Linked DNA regions of Drosophila melanogaster. The gene in region 1 interacts genetically with each later gene. Each region holds a gene or a part of one and is shown on either strand. Other genes may lie near its edges.

What was found. A genetic interaction does not mean that the proteins touch.
Region 2: of mst (region 1) and Act79B, changing one suppresses a phenotype caused by changing the other (phenotypic suppression), as found in Drosophila melanogaster (one study listed by BioGRID).

What each region holds. Positions count from the first base shown.
Region 1 is NC_004354.4:21,384,855-21,393,559, forward strand, and holds mst (misato), read left to right. Parts: upstream 1-4,122; 5' UTR 4,123-4,157; coding exon 4,158-4,238; intron 4,239-4,293; coding exon 4,294-5,023; intron 5,024-5,082; coding exon 5,083-5,996; 3' UTR 5,997-6,679; downstream 6,680-8,705. Other genes in the region: Ddx56 (DEAD-box helicase 56), read right to left, coding at 1,002-1,437, 1,496-1,924, 2,120-2,871, 2,932-2,997.
Region 2 is NT_037436.4:21,981,441-21,989,390, reverse strand, and holds Act79B (actin 79B), read right to left. Parts: upstream 4,182-7,950; 5' UTR 4,143-4,181; exon of another isoform or gene 4,067-4,142; 5' UTR 4,041-4,066; coding exon 3,116-4,040; intron 2,754-3,115; coding exon 2,548-2,753; 3' UTR 2,201-2,547; downstream 1-2,200. Other genes in the region: P5CS (Delta[1]-pyrroline-5-carboxylate synthase), read right to left, coding at 6,995-7,257. UniProt on the Drosophila melanogaster protein: Actins are highly conserved proteins that are involved in various types of cell motility and are ubiquitously expressed in all eukaryotic cells.

The DNA of each region.
Region 1 (8,705 bases):
TAACGGAGCGATATTATAAAAGTCATTACTATGATAGTCGATGGATTAGAGCCCGCTACAAAAACTCTCCCCCTATTTTCAATACGTTTCAATATCCATATCTGATTTCGCGTTTCGATTTCTCAGACAACAACAGATATAGACAGTCAGACTTGGCCATATACTAAGCCGCGCAGATCGAACCGACTAGTTTTTCATTATTACCCTCATGATTATTATTGTATTGCATAAACGCTATAAATAAATGAATAAATAATTGTATGAATGTTAACTATTTCAATGACAATAATAAAATGTTAAAAACGAATACGCATGCATCGCTTATATTTCGCCCCTAATGGTGATCTATTTTTCCTGGGACTCTCGGTGTAATGGACTTTAAATGGTATCCAGCTGCTGCATAATCGTCGCTGTGACCTACGGAACTACTGGCACTTTGGGTAATGTGACTGACTCGTAGATATTTTTTATTTTCATTTTCCGTCCGCTGTCAGAAAAGTTGAGCAAATGATATAGTGCCTTCTGCCTCTATTTGGGTAAGTGGTTACCACTTACCGCCACCCGAACAGCGGCCGTTTTAAGCATATACTTGTCAAGTTTCTGAGTTTAAAAAGACATTCACTTACTTGCTTATCGGCTGGATAAGTACAAACATACACATTTGGCGGGCATGCAAATAAATATATATATATCATCGATAGAGTTAACAAACTACATTGTTAATGTGCATGTGCAATTGGTTATTTTTACAGCCCTATTACAAAATTCTAAATTAACAGAATTTTCATATATATAAAGAAAATAACCTGGGTTTGTCAATCTGCAGCTATCTCCAACATAGGTATATTTTTCGTTTAATTTTACTCATTTCTAATTTAGGGTAAAATAACATTTTTAAAATTCCAAACATCTTCAACGGCCGCTTTTATGTTTGGCTTACATTAACAATATTAACTTTATTTCCTTATTGACTAATGCGACTATAGATACCATTTGCTACCCTACAACGCCTTCTTTTTTCTCCGGTGGGCAGGACGCCGTTTCCCGAAGTCCACCTGGCTAGCCATCAGAGGATCATTGACCTGCCGCTCGAAGGCAGCCTTGGCGGCCGACTGTCGTGGCTGTTTGGCTTCCGAGGCTCCGACAGGGGAAGAGGACGTTCCAACCACTCGCTTCAGGGCCTTTGGCACTATGTACTCGGGCATGTCAGAGAGATGACTCTGTACCTTGATGGCGCGCAGAGGCTTGTCGTGCCGAAGCGCTTGCAGATCGCGTTTGTTCTCCTCGAAAAATGCCTTTAGTTTCTCGCAGTTGAGGATCTCTATCTTTATCTCTCGAATTCGAGTGTCGTGAACAGCTACGCGAGTTGCGGCCCGCCAGCAATCCTGAGCACGATAACGGAAGGACTCAACTTCTTCCATTTTAAACTGGTAGTTCCTGAAGTGATGGCACACTTAGCAATATTACAATTTTGAAGATGTTATTCTATACTCACTTGATGATCTGTTCGCCCTCTTGGGCTGCAAAACTATCGCACAGTTTCTTCTCAACTGAATCGTTTACCTTGGACTCCTTCATGCTGACAAAGGACAAGACGGAGCCCTTGTTATTTCCTCTAGCCGTCCTGCCAGCCCGATGGATATAAGACGTGACATCCCTGGGGAAGTCGAAGTTGATTACGTTGTTCACGCACTGAAAGTCAATGCCGCGGGAAGCACTCGACTCCATGTCGCCGCTTCGAGGAGATTTTCGGTTAGTCGCTGATTTGCCTCCTGGCTTTTCCATATGATGTTCGTCGGAGGCAATGATTATGTCGTAGGTGCCCTTGTTGAACTGGCTAATTGTGTGGATGCGAATGTTGGCAGGCAGCTCGGAGTTCAAGACACAGGCACGGATGCCGAACTGCTCTAGGAACAATCGAACCCTGAAACATTTAAATGGGTAATAATTAGAACGAATTATAGTAAGTATTTAGGGGCGGATGGGAATGCCGTCAGCGAGAAGATTAGTTGCTGGTCATGCGTGCGCCAACTGTTGCCAGCTGCCCACTCCCTGCATTTGTGGTTTAATCATCATTGGCTCCTGTGCATCTAAGGCGGGATTCGTATGGTTTACTCACTTGTAACACCGATCGATGCTGTTCACAAAGATTATGCTCTTGCCGCGTATGAGTCTCAGCTTCAATAAGGCGTACAAGATAGCCGGTTTATCGTTTTCCTCAGCCAGAATGCGCTGGTGCGACAACTGATCTTGCGGCACCAACTCCGGCTCCTCGAGTTTAAGCGTAACCGGGTTGTTCAGGCACAGGCCTTTCATGCGCACCACATCGTCGGTTAGAGTAGCGGAGACTAGGACAGCCTGGTAGATGGGAGGCAGGTGCTTAATCAACCGCTTGAAGTCCTTTTCGTAGCCATAGGCAAACACCAGATCCGCCTCGTCCACCACCAAGGTCTCCACATGCTTCAGATCCACCACGCTACCAGCCTCGGCGTAGGCCAGCAAATTGGCGGGTGTGGCAACCACAATGTCGGGACTTTCAGACAAGGCGTGCCGCTGGGTCACCGTGTCGTTGGAGCTATCGGCAATGTCCGCCACGCGTACAACCTTGCCGCAGGACTCGACCAGCTGCTCGATCACCTTACGGGACTGCCGGCATAGCTCCTTGGTGGGCGCCAGGACCACAGCGCTCACATACTGCTCGCTGGCGTTCAGTTTGGAGTTAAGGATCTTCTGAATCAGTGGCAGGGCGTAGGTGGCAGTCTTGCCGGATCCGGTGCGGGCGCGCACCACCACATCCTTGCCCTCCAGAAGCAGCGGTATCGCCGTCGACTGGATAAGTGTGGGCTGCTGCCAACCCAGCTGGGCCACCGCCTGAAAGATGAGCGCAACACTTTAAAATCTGGAACTGTCGGTCGCAAGCCGGGCACTCACCTTAAGGATGCGCTGATCCAGCTCCAGCTCGTGGAATTGCACCGTTTTCTGGGTCATCTGGCTCATGGTGGGCGACGGTATAAAAAAAAACGCTGGAAAATGCGCAGCGCACGTTTTCTGGCCCAACAAGAAAAAGAGCGAGGCATCGGTCCATTGAATTATCGGCGACTTTATCGGCTTATCGATAGTTGAATTAAACAGTTATTGAAATCTACTTTTAAAGGTAAGCAAATACCTTTAAAAAAAATTTAATATATTCCATTTATTAAATTAAATAAATAAAAAGAGAGAATGCCATAGTCGAGTTCCCCGACTATTAGATACCCGTTACTCAGCTAGTGTGAATGCGAACGCGAAATTTCATCATTTTTCTGGGATATCAATAGCTAATTGGGGAATAAAATTAGAAAAAATTTATAAAGTTTGGCTAGATCGACTCGGCTCCTAATCCTTAATCCTGATCAAGAATATATATACTTTAAATAGTCGGAAATGCTTCCTTCTGCCTGTTACACAATCTAGTATACCCTTTTATTCTACGAGTAACGTGTGTAAAAATCAGCAATTAAATATTTTAACTTAACATTGTATAGCACCTTAACTTCTTTTCTAGTTTATTAGAGAAATCTCATAATTCGCTCTTTTCTGACTTATTTATCCTCCGTCTGAATGGATATGTGAATCTATGGGAATCGACAATTTCTTTAAAAATACGTTTAAGCCGACTTATAGCTTCTTCTTTCGGAGATCCTATTTATAAGGTTTCACCGTATCGACCGAAAATAAAATCCGTTGCAATCCAATAACTAAACAATTGGAGCCACAAACGCTACCGTTCTTTTTTGAGATTTTACCGTATGACTTGATAAGTTTGCAATCGGCTTTTGCGGGTTACATATTAAGGTTGTTATGCTCTATTGTAAAAATTCCTCGTATTTCTTATGTTTTTTTTCTCAATGTGATAGACATTAAGGTCATATCGATATATTTACATACATAAGTAAAATTAATAAACATAACATATTCCTATAAAACTTTCAAAATATATAAATCTTTTTTGCAGTTATAAATAATATTTTTAAATATATTTATTTTTAATACAGAGTATCCAATCAACGAAATTAAGAACGCTTATTACCGCACACAGCTATCGATATATCCGCGAAAATCGATAGTTCCGCGGGCTCGCGCAATTGCATCCGAATTAGTCACTTTCGCCGGCTGTTATGGACTATACACGTGAAATTTTGACCTTCCAGTTCGGAACGTACGCGAATTACGTGGGCACACACTTCTGGAACCAGCAGGTGAGTTGTCCTACCCACTTGGCAGCCGGGAGCCTCACGAATTACACATTTCCAGGAGGCCAACTTTAGGTACGGAGACGAAAGCGAACAGGTGGCCGAGGAGCAGCTGCCCAACAATGATATTTTGTACCGTGAAGGGCGCAACGACCTCAATCGTACCACCTACACGCCCCGCCTGCTGTCCGTGGATTTGTCCGGGACCCTGGGACATCTGCCGGTGACCGGCGAGCTGTACGGCAATTTTGTGCAGCGTGATGAGGAGTTGCTGCCCCTGAGCACCGGAGAGGAATTGGAACAGGTTCGCAAGCGGGCAGAGGAGAGCGGCGTATGCTCACCGGAGCAGCTGGAAGTGCAGGAGCAGTCGAAGGCCTCCATTTCCGAATATCAGCGGGATCTGCTCAAGAATGCTGTGGTGCCCGAGAAGAACTATCAGCTGGCAGCGACGGCAAACAGTTGGGTGGACTTCCTTTACGCCAGGTATCACCCGAGAACCTTGAATGTCTTGCCGGGGCTGATCCGAGATCCGACTGCCCAAGCCCTGGGTACCTACTCTGCCGGAACAGAAATGTGGCAGGAAGTCTCCTTCAACGAGGAGTTCTGCGATCGTATCCGTTTGTATGTAGAGGAGTGCGATGGCCTGCAGGGCTTCCACGTGCTGTTCGACATTGACGATGGCTTCGGCGGACTGGCTGGGAAGTGCCTGGAGCACCTCAACGATGAGTACAGCCGGGCGAGTTTCGCGCTGCCACTTCACTATCCCAGGATCACTAGTTATCCCCAAGCGGGTAAGTAAGGTGATTTTTAAAGAAATCTAGCATATTAACACAGTTTGCCCAATTCCCAGATACCCGCCTGTCGCACAGCATTCGGGTGGTAAACAATGTGTTGGGCTACCACCAACTCAGCGAGCAGGCTTTGATGTTCACGCCGCTATCCACGCTGGAGACCATCTGGCGAAACAATAATCTGAAGTCGCGCAGTCTGCCGGGACTCCAGTGGGAGACGGATAACCTCTACCAGACATCAGCGCTGCTGGCCGCCTTTTTCGACACGGCCACCTTGAGTTACCGCCTGCGGCAAACGCCAGAATCTTTGCTACGCTTTTGCGAATGCGTCACTCCAGCGGGCAGAAAGATGACCGCCGCTGGATTGGCTCTGCCATTTGGGCTGAGGGAGGGTCAGGATCTGATAGAGTTTCTAGACCAGAGTGGCGACCACGCGCTGCTCACACAACTCACACCGGGCTGTGAGCCTGGCACATCCTACGTGGTGCAATCAGTGACGGCTCGTGGCATTCCCGCGGAACGTTTGAAACGGCCCAGGGAGCTGGCCGGCGATCAACTTCGGATGGCTGCCTATAGCTGCGATAGTATATCCCATATGCTGCAGCTATACTACCAGTGCACCTATCATGGAAGTGTTACAAATGCGGCAGCCACACCACTGCCACTAAAGACACAGCTACCTTTTCCTTATGAAATGTTTGCAGCCGGTATATCACGCGATGGCTACCGCTTGCCTGAGGGGGCGGAACGCGAGACGGGTAGTCGTGTGGATTCGGCACCCATGCTGGCCGCCGTACAGAACTCCACCAAGCTGGGCGAGCATCTGGACAATGTGCACGCCCAATCGCATCGAGTGCAGCTGGCCAAGTTGCAAGCGTACTCTAATTCTGGATTGGAGCGGGATGAGTACGATACGGCGCTGGATCAGCTGCTTGAGTTCCGCGACCTTTACGCAGACTCGCAGTATCTATAGGATGCTGTGGTTTTGGAAACTAAGATTTTGTGATAAGCCTAGGATTATGTACACAAAAAACACTCGTATACAGTCGAATTCAAGATGAATATGTCATTTTATATTGCCTCCGAATTATATTTTCGTTTAGTTCAAACGACATAATTTGATTAGTTCTTGTGCATTTATTTCTGTTAAATTGTAATTCCCTTAGAATTCCTATATCTCTTTTATTTTTACGACTCTCGTGAAGATTGTTGTAACCAAACTCAACCTATCGATGCATATATTATTTGCTTAGCTTAAAATGTTCTCGAAACCATTGTTACGGCCTGTATGTATAAGCTTAATGTGCCATGCTCCTTGTCCTCTAAGGTGTCAGGTTGGTTAGCTTTACCCGGAGCGGAAGTTGATGGGCTGTGGCCCCACCCGCGGCACTTTGTGATTGGCAGTCTCGGAAGCGGCTTTGATATTTTCGCGTTTCCAGGAAAGCGAGGAAAGTAAAAAACAAAACAAAACAAAACAAAAACAATGTTGTCTGGGCAGAGAATTTTGAGAGTCGTCAATGAAGTTTCTAATAACGCAGAATGGTCGAAATGGCCAATTTGATAAGTATTTAAAAAAAATGTTTAATTCTGAGCGGTAAAACGTTTGTGACTACAAGGTCTATAATTACATCGATTTATATCTTTAGTTTCTCAGCTGAATTCTTGGAATTTATCTGCTGTTAAAAACCTTGTCTTAAACTATTTGCTTACTATAAACATTTTGATTGGCGTACTAATGTTAATGGTGTTAAAAAACATTTTAGGGATAATATGTAATAAAAGGTGTTTGAGCTTGGAAATCGTTAATCTCATTATATCTCATAATAAATGTTGGCTTTCATCGTTAGGAAGTTATTAAATTATGCGTGCCGGATGGGCTATTTCGCCCACTGTGCGACCATGACGACATGGACGTGCCTAAAGAAATCGGTGAATTTTTATTTGCATGGCAATCAATTTTTATTCCTGCTATCCTGGAAAAGGCCAGGGGCATATTAATTTATTGAAAAGGTCTTTATTAAAAAGGATAGACTCTATAGTCAAAAAACTGAACTAACTGTTTTGGGACTAATGAGTTTTTACTTGCACTAAACATAAATTAAAGGGATGTGTGCTTTTATTTCTGAATTACTTTTATCTATGTAATTTGTCAGCTTTTTTACAGATTTTCTTTTTAAAACTCTTGCCTTTATGAAATATAAAAAAAAATATAAAACAATCGCTATGCTTTCATATCAAACACAAATAACGCCACGGACCTACGCAACCACTGGGTAACCGGAATTCGGTCTTTTGAATTGGTTGCCATCTTCTCCGTTGACCCCAAGGACCCTTCCTGGTCGACTTCACCTTTCCGCGACGTCTACGTGCGGCTACTGGCCGCTTTGTTTAACCTTAACCCTTACGGATCGGATCGAATTGGATCGGGAGCTGGGCCGCTTAATTTATACGAAAATTTATTGTCAATAAAGCGGCAGTAATTGAAATCTCAACGGGAGTAAATCACAATTTTATGGACTGCTAACGGGCGGCGACTAGGTGGATGGGATTGGGATTGGGATTAGGGCCTGGAGAAGGGGGTTCATAATTTGGGCGAGTGTTTTCCGTTTGCCGGTCAAGTTTTCCGCACCAGCCCTGCGTCCTGCGTCCACATTGTTTTGCAAATTAAATTTCAATTTGATTGGCACCGCTCCTTTAACATTCTGCCGTCTTTTTAGCACAGGTCCTTAAAGCAGCTGCTGTTCTCTAGCTGCTGCTGGTGTACTTCCGGGGAAAAAGGACCAAATCCGAAATTAAAATTACGCCAACGACTTTAATGGAATATGTGCGTGGAATTCGAAATGCCAAATTGAATAGCCTGCCGAGCTAGTGGAGTGTATATATTTCGTATATTGTTTTTTGCAGCTTTTAATTTTGTTTCGTTTTCGTTTTCATTTTCGATTCGGACCGGTCCGGTCCGGTTCGGTCTGCATGTGAATTGGGACGAGTCCTTGCATTAGCATGCAGTCCTGTCACTGCACATCCAGCCGCCACTCACTCCACCTGCAATACATGTATTTGATTAATGTGGGCTGCACCAGCTCTGATCCAAACACTGGGCCACTCACTGGGTGTCAACTTCTGTAGAATTTAAATTTAATAATCAGGCAGATCTTTAAGCGCCTGGAATGTGGGCATAAAACCAGGCGAGGCATGTAAAATAGTTTCATTTTGTAGGCCAAATTTGCACAGCTCCAATCTAAAACGTAAAAGAAGAAGTTAATATTTTAACTGGGACACAGGGACACTGGGACACTGGTAGGTACACTGAGAACGAAATGCATAATTGCATTGGAATTTAATGTCATCATAAATTCGTAATTATTTAAAACTCAAAATGCCTTAAACCTGAAGTTATTCAACATGCACATATGTATGTAAGGAATGTTGACGGCTGTATCCGGCAGCTAGTCACCTTCCAGGTGGCAAGTGTCAGGAGCGCTAATGAGCTTGGGTAGGAAGAGAACACTGTGACGAGTTCTGTACGGATTTCGGAGGCCAGAAATGGGAGCCATTGGTGGATTACTTATGGATCGCTCTACATTGATCCAGATCCTATGATCGAATAAGACACCAAGATCTGGGACAGTGTCGGTGGGTTCTCTGGTGCAGTTATGTGCTAATACGTCGCGAGCCTGATCTA
Region 2 (7,950 bases), on another chromosome or scaffold:
AATCCATTCGCTAAGAATAGCGATTTTTATATGACGACCTTTAAAGCTGGATCGCTCAAATTTGACAGTTTGGCGACCGCTCTCCATTAATTCCCCTACTTGAGGGAACGGAAACCCGACCTGCACCTGCTGGGCATTAATTGGATCCAAGTTTGAATTACTATCAACTAAGACAAACGAGTGGGATGGAGTCGCATGTGCGTGTGCTAAAGTTTTTCCATTTTTGGGAGCGTGTCAGTGGCAGGCGTATAAATTTAAATTTACAGCAGCCGACGGAAATTGATAGTGATGGCCAAGATGTTGATAGAGTCGCCTCAATTAAGAGGAGGTCTGCGGCGGTCAGTTAAGCTCAAAGGATGCGGGGGAGGGCTATTAGGTGGCAAGCAGGATGTGAGGAAAACGCCTAGGTTGATGAAGATGGAGGGGTCTGGTATCATGGTGCAGCCCTTTTATTTATTAATTTCCTGTCCGCATGTGGTGCACCTCCAGCCAGGGAAAACAATTTGTTAGCTTGTCAAAACCATCGACCATCAAGTCCAAGTTTTTGTGGGCCTCCAACCCTTTTCCCATACAACTCACGCCCACAGCTCTCGGCAGACGAGAGATAACTCGTTAACTTTGGGCTTTAATTCCAGCTTGTTTGTTTTGCGCCTGGGCAAATCTGCATAATGAAAATGGCAAATACATTGAAGTATTTGCCTTCGGAATTAACACCAAATTATAATGGTATCAATGGGCCGGCTGATAGGGCGAGTGTATTAAATTAGCATAAAATAAACAGAACTTGCACAGAACTTGCAGCTCGGTGTTGCAGTTGCAGTTGCAATGGCAGCAAATGCAAAATGCAAAACCATTTCCGCAAACTGAAACCGACATACAAACAAACAATCGACGCAGCATTACTCCGAGAATGTGGATGACTCCGGGGGAGCACGAAAACCCTGGCCGGGCTGTAATTAAATTCAATTTGATGTACAGACAAGTGCTGCAAGCATAACAATACGAAACCAGAGAACGGATTTTGGCCCACTTTTCGGCCGCCTGGTATTCTGCACTAAAAGAAGAAAAAATTTTAGCTCCACTCTATTTCCACTTTTACTAAAATTATCTGCAAAAATGTTATTATTAATGTTAACTGTGATATTGGTTAAAGAATTGTTCTTTCTCACATAAGTTAACTTAACCACAGAAATATATAAAAATTTAGCCAGGAATCATAAATGTGCATTCTAGTGACTTCTCTGAGTGTGGGCCAAATCGACCCATTAGCTATTAACCCCTCAGTTTTAGGGCTTTATGGCCAAATTTGTTGACCTGCTGCGACCACTGATTGATTGAGTAGCGATTTCCAGCCAGGCCTTTACTATCATTTCGGACCAGCCAGTCCGCCAAACATTTAGTTGTACGCCAACGTGCCGCACTAATTTCTCTGTTTCCGCTCTCCCTGGCTGGACGGCGGATAATGAACCGCACTTGGATCCAATGACCCATGGACCGCTGAGCAGTGGCGTTGGTGCAAGGACCATGGAACAAAAGTTCAATTGATATCTACACGTGCCAGAATCCCCAGGACTGCATCTCTAAAATCATAATTGGCAAGGTTTTGGGGCAAGATTTTGGGTGCCCAAAAACATCAAGAATGCACGTGCTCCCTAGTCATTAGAAGAGTTTCCGTGTTACTGACGACTTAGCAGCAGACATTAGACCAATAAACCCAGTTAGACTCTTTTCTTTGGCGACTCCAGCAAGCTTGGCCCTAACTAATTAAGCAACAGTTTTCGGCACCTGGTTTATGCATAGTTTGGCGAAACCTCAAAAGTTTGCAGCCAAAAGTTGAGCACAAACATTTATGTTGGCGAAAAGTTCTGTGAGCAGTTGGGCTCCAGTTAAGACTGTCGCTGCTCCTTGTATTTCCGACTTCAGTCCTCCAGAAGTCATTCCTCGCAACCTCTCTTCGTGTGGAAAATCCATCTGGGTTTGTGAAAATGTGACAGAAGAGCATGCGGGGGGATAGATGCACAGATACAGATACAGATACAGATACAGATACAGATACCCGTACTGGGGGATTGCCATGGCAGCTGTTAGAGAATAAAAGTTGGCCGGCAAGTGCCTGATTGACATTCGTCGAGGCCTAATTAAAAAAGTTTCCCCACCACGCATTCCTGCTGCTCCTGTGACGTTCGACTTGGGTTCGATTCACATGGGTTATTGGTTTTTATTGTACGTACAACCGATTGTTTTGGCCACTTTACGCGCTGGCAAGCGAGTCAAGCAGTACAAATTCCGAGTCAAATCAAATAAAAATAGCAATAATAATAAAAAAAGAAGGCGTTGCCGCTCGTTTCCGGTCTTTTCTCGTCTCTTTCTCTTGTTTTCTCTATCTATGTTAAAACTTCTTCATCAACTAAATGTAATTTAAAGATACTTTTCACTGAACTGCGTCCTCACCCTTGGCGCCGGCGCCTGGTCGGATGTCTTACGCTGGAGACAAACACCAGGGCCGCGCTCGAGGAGATGTTGATCTGGTTTGGGTGGCTTGGATGCTTAGAAGCACTTGCGGTGGACGATGCCGGGACCGGACTCGTCATACTCCTGCTTGGAGATCCACATCTGCTGGAAGGTGGACAACGAAGCCAGGATGGAGCCACCGATCCAGACGGAGTACTTGCGCTCTGGCGGGGCGATGATCTTGATCTTGATGGTGGACGGGGCAAGTGCGGTGATTTCCTTTTGCATACGGTCAGCGATACCTGAAGAGGACAGAAATAGAATCCATTAGTGGTGCTACAGAACCGAGGAGCTTTGGTGTACTCATTACATGACATTTTAATAATAGCATGCATGAATATGAGATATAGGGAAAGGATATAACCCATTAGGTGAATTCTTTTTTTTTTTTTTGTAATACTACTTTCCATAAGATTTTTTTTAACTGTTATTACAAAGCTCAGCTAAATATTTAGGCTTTATTATTTAAAGATTTCCTCTCTGCCAAATGAATGTATAAAGTAACACTTGTTTTTTTTTTTAAGTATCCCGCATAGTTTTGATCCCATTCCCTCGGAAGAATTTCCTCTGAACTTTATGGTCCTAATTAATTAAGACTACGCACCTGGATACATGGTAGTGCCGCCAGACAGCACATTGTTGGCATACAGATCCTTGCGGATGTCCACGTCGCACTTCATGATGGACTGGTAGACGGTCTCGTGGATGCCGCAGGACTCCATGCCCAGGAACGATGGCTGGAAGAGGGCCTCCGGGGTGCGGAAGCGCTCGTTGCCGATGGTGATTACCTGGCCATCGGGCAGCTCGTAAGACTTCTCCAGGGAGGTGGAGGCGGCGGCAGTGGCCATCTCCTGCTCGAAGTCCAGGGCGACGTAGCACAGCTTCTCCTTGATGTCGCGCACAATCTCGCGCTCGGCGGTGGTGGTGAAGCTGTAGCCGCGCTCGGTGAGGATCTTCATCAGGTAGTCGGTTAGATCGCGACCGGCCAGATCTAGACGAAGGATGGCGTGGGGCAGGGCATAGCCCTCATAGATGGGCACGGTGTGGGAGACACCGTCACCGGAGTCCAGGACGATACCGGTGGTACGGCCGGAGGCGTACAGGGAGAGCACGGCCTGGATGGCCACGTACATGGCCGGGGAGTTGAACGTCTCGAACATGATCTGGGTCATCTTCTCGCGGTTGGCCTTGGGGTTCAAGGGAGCCTCGGTCAGCAGAACGGGGTGCTCCTCGGGGGCCACACGCAGCTCGTTGTAGAAGGTGTGGTGCCAGACCTTCTCCATGTCATCCCAGTTGGTGATAATGCCGTGTTCGATGGGGTACTTCAGCGACAGGATACCGCGCTTGCTCTGCGCCTCGTCGCCCACGTAGCAGTCCTTCTGACCCATACCCACCATCACGCCCTGGTGACGGGGACGGCCTACGATCGAGGGGAATACGGCGCGGGGCGCGTCGTCTCCGGCGAATCCGGCCTTGCACATGCCGGAGCCGTTGTCTACGACCAGGGCTGATGCTTCTTCGTCACACATGTTTGGTTAGTTTGGTGCGGGCGGCACTACAAGGATACAGACAGATCGGTTATCCCTTATGCGGGTTACGGATTTCGGATGGGCGGACAAGACTACACTCACGACGTGTAAATCCAACAGCGACAGCGATCAGAGTGATTCGTTATGCGCTCCGGCAGCTGCATTTAAATAAGTTCTGTCCCGCCCCGCCGGCCCCACGCCCATGTCCCTGTCATCTCGAACAATTGTTCATCTAGTAACATGTTGATGAATTCCGCGATATGCAACGCTGGCTGGGGATCAGGCGTTTCCGGGGAGGGTGGTCGGATGCACATCATTTCGATTTCACAAAAGTGTTCTGATTTCGGGTATTACGCCTACGGCAACAAGTTGGATTACGAATTAAAGAACCCTAGTTAAGCCACAACTTAGAGCAACTAAATTGGTACTAGATTTCAATATAAAATAAGTTGTTTTGTAAGTTGTAAGTCTTGTTATATTGTTAGAATTTTAATCCGCACACACTTATAAGCTTGTGAAATTTGGGAAAATAAATAATTTATTGGAACGCTGGGCTTAGGCTAGATAGTTTTGATATTTATATATTGTTTTAGAATGGCAATAGTCATAAATATACATACATAATATAAATATTTATATTTATTTTATATATTGTTTTAGAATGGCAATAGTCCCAAATATACACAATAGATATATTTTTTTGACAAATAGCAAAATTGGGTATTCCAATTACTTTTAATTTAAGCATCAAATGACAGAATGTGTTAAGCCAAAGCTAACAAATGGATTTATCTAACGAGCTTCGATTTAAGCTCTGACAATAGGCTCTCCGTTTTTTGATAGAATAATTTATTTCCATCAGGCCCTAAGTCGTATTAGTCAGAGCATTATCGGGATTTTGCGTTCGTTCAGAGTATTCAATTTGCTCCATTCCCAAATACCATTTATCACTTAGTTTCATTTCGTTTTCGCTAAATTATGTCTGGCTGCCAACTTTGCTATGACTTCGACAAAGAACAGAGGAGAGAACATATCGAAATATGCGCCAGGACTTGTATAGGCATCTGTAGATATATTTTTAAGTTTTTATATAAATAAACCCCCGCAAAACGGCGGCGCAGCAACAAGAACAACCCGTGAACAATGCAATGTAGTGGCCAGCCTTTCCCCCAAGTTCTTTATCTTGGTCTTGTAGGCAGCTTTTCCCTGCTCGAGTAAGAGAAATTGGTGCCAATGCTCTTCTGGGCCCCCACTCAGTCCATAGATGGTGTGGCCCGAATGTTGTCACACTCAAAAATGCAGCCAAAGCACTTGCGTTTATACATCTTATAAATGTTGACGCTGTCGTGTGGATTTCATTGAAATCAAATTGAAAAAATAGAATCAAATAATTTTGTACGGCTATGCACGGCACATAGCCCTGTGAGCCCAAAGGAAAGTGGTTGGGGGGTTTGGCGCAGCGGTGCATGCGGCCAACAGCAATTTTGCGCCTGTCCACCGATATCGCTCGATCTCATCGTGGCATTAGCCATAAGATTAATGCCCGATATTCTAATTAAGTGTGCCCCATCCGAGGAGGTGCATGCACTCTGCTTTTACTGCAGCGAGTGCATTCCCCAAAGGAGCAAACTTCTGAGCTCCAACTTTGGCCCGTTAACTTTGCCAAGTGCTCGCCAACTGCGGAGCATTACGTGACCACCTTGCGGATCAGGTACGGACACCAACCACGTATCATTGGTCGTACGCGCGTCGAGTAGTTGAAAGAGGTAAAAATAATGCCCGCCAGCAGGGACTTGTGGTTCCTCCGACTCAGTAGATAACCGCATCCAGGGGTGGAGGAGCTCTGAATACTTCGATATATTGCAACTTTTTCAGTTCACAGCTAAATGTGGCATGGGATCGGATCAATTAAGTGGGCAGATAGTATTTGTAATCAGTGCTAAGTAAGTCTTAATTAGTTCTTAGAAGGTCTTGTTTCGATCAACAAATAAGAGTGCCCTTTTGGAAATCATATTTTGGTTATTTTTCGGTTGTATATTAATAGATTACACATAGATTTCTTCAAGTAAATATAGACAGATTTACCTCCATTCTGCGCTTTTGGTACTGCTCAATTTTCCCTTGCACCCTTGCTGTCTGACCCCAACATCAATTTAGCTTGAAGTTTCAAGAGGAAAATTCGGCGAAAAAGTTAGCGCGTTGACAGGACGAAGGAGCCACCTTTGGTGGCAGAACCAAATGGCAAAGCCCTGCCCGTCCACAGCTCCACCTGCGGCACCTCCACGCCTCCTCCGGCCAGCACGCAATGCGAAAAGTTTCTGGGCGGAGAGAGGGAGCGAGGGGTGTTGAGCTGGCCTAAGAAACTTGCTCCAGTGCACAGAAAAATTAAAATACTTGCCACGCGGTTGCATTCCAAGCTGGAGGCGCCTCCGAGTAGCCGCGGGGCAGAACTATGCTTAGCTGGATTGCACGTTCCATGGCTAATTTATGATTTGTAATAGGAATACCCGTTTATAAAGTACATCATATTTTCGAGAGATTGAAACTTAAAGCGCAATTTCTCCAGCTTTCTTCCAGTTAATTTTATTTTCTTGTATCCCCCATCTGCAGCGCGGAACTTTCGCTGCAAACTTTGAGGGCCCAAGACAAGGGCTGACAGTTTGAACAACCTTCGCCCACTTTCTCTCCCTTACTTTATTAATTACACAAGTTGTCTCTGCAAATATTTTTCACTCAAATTAATATATCCCATGTGGCCACGACGGCAGCTGTCATCGGAGCTGCACATCCTTGTCCTCGCCCTCATCCACATTGGGATTCGGATCCGGATCCACTTATCCCCACGTAATTACCCTTCGCTCAAAATGCACTCCTCTAAAAGATGACGAAAGTGCACTCTACTTTGGAACGCGATTCGGTATGCTACATCTAAGAATAGTTCAGTTTAAGGTTATTTAGTCCAGCGGCAGGGTTTCGTGCAGCCACGTGCGGCCACCTCCCTCGGCGAAGTCGGCGGCGGCATGGTCCTGCCCCTCGAGGATCCACTTGGTGGTCAGCAGCCCCTCCACTCCCACAGGCCCGCGGGCGTGGATCCGGGCAGTGGAGATGCCCACCTCGGCACCAAGGCCAAACCGGAAACCGTCCGCAAACCGGGAGCTGGCGTTGTGGAACACACAGGCGCTGTCCACGCTGCCCAGGAACTGCCTGGCCGCCGCATCTGCGAATGGAAATGGAAAGCGGGGGAGAGTGTGTGTGGAAATTTAGAAACTGCACAAATTGTGGCACTACGGCACTTGGAAGTATGGAAGTGTGGCAGAGTGGCAGTGCGGCGGGGAAAAGTGTTGAATAAAATTAATTTCCCAAATGATTTAAATTTGTTGTGGTGAGCTGCGGGGAATGGGGAAAATGGCTGAGAATGCATGCATGCAAAAGTTTGCACGCTAAACTTGCCCGACTTGAATTAGGATTCGGCTTTGGTTTTGGTTTCAAGTCGGAATGGCTGAACCGCTGAAGAAGTACCTGGTTGCATGGCATTGAGGGCCAAATTGAATTACTGGTGGCAGTATGAAGTGGTCATGCCTTCCCCCGGACGAAAATGTACGCTCAAGTAAATACTACCATTTAAAATAATAGCACTGGAATTCTTGAAAACAAAATTAAATATTAATTTGACACTTCTGTGCATTACGGACCTTCAAACTATTACATAATGTTGTGATGAGAAAGAGTGAAAATTTAAAAGATGTTCTTATAAGCGGATACATTACCGCAAGTATTCTTGGGTACCAGAACTACGTGCTAAGGAATTTCATAAGCAGTTAGCACGCTATTTCCTCTACTAACACATAAGAGGTGTCTCATTTTTTACATACACATTTTTAGATGCAATTTTAGTTGTTGGAAGCCCAGC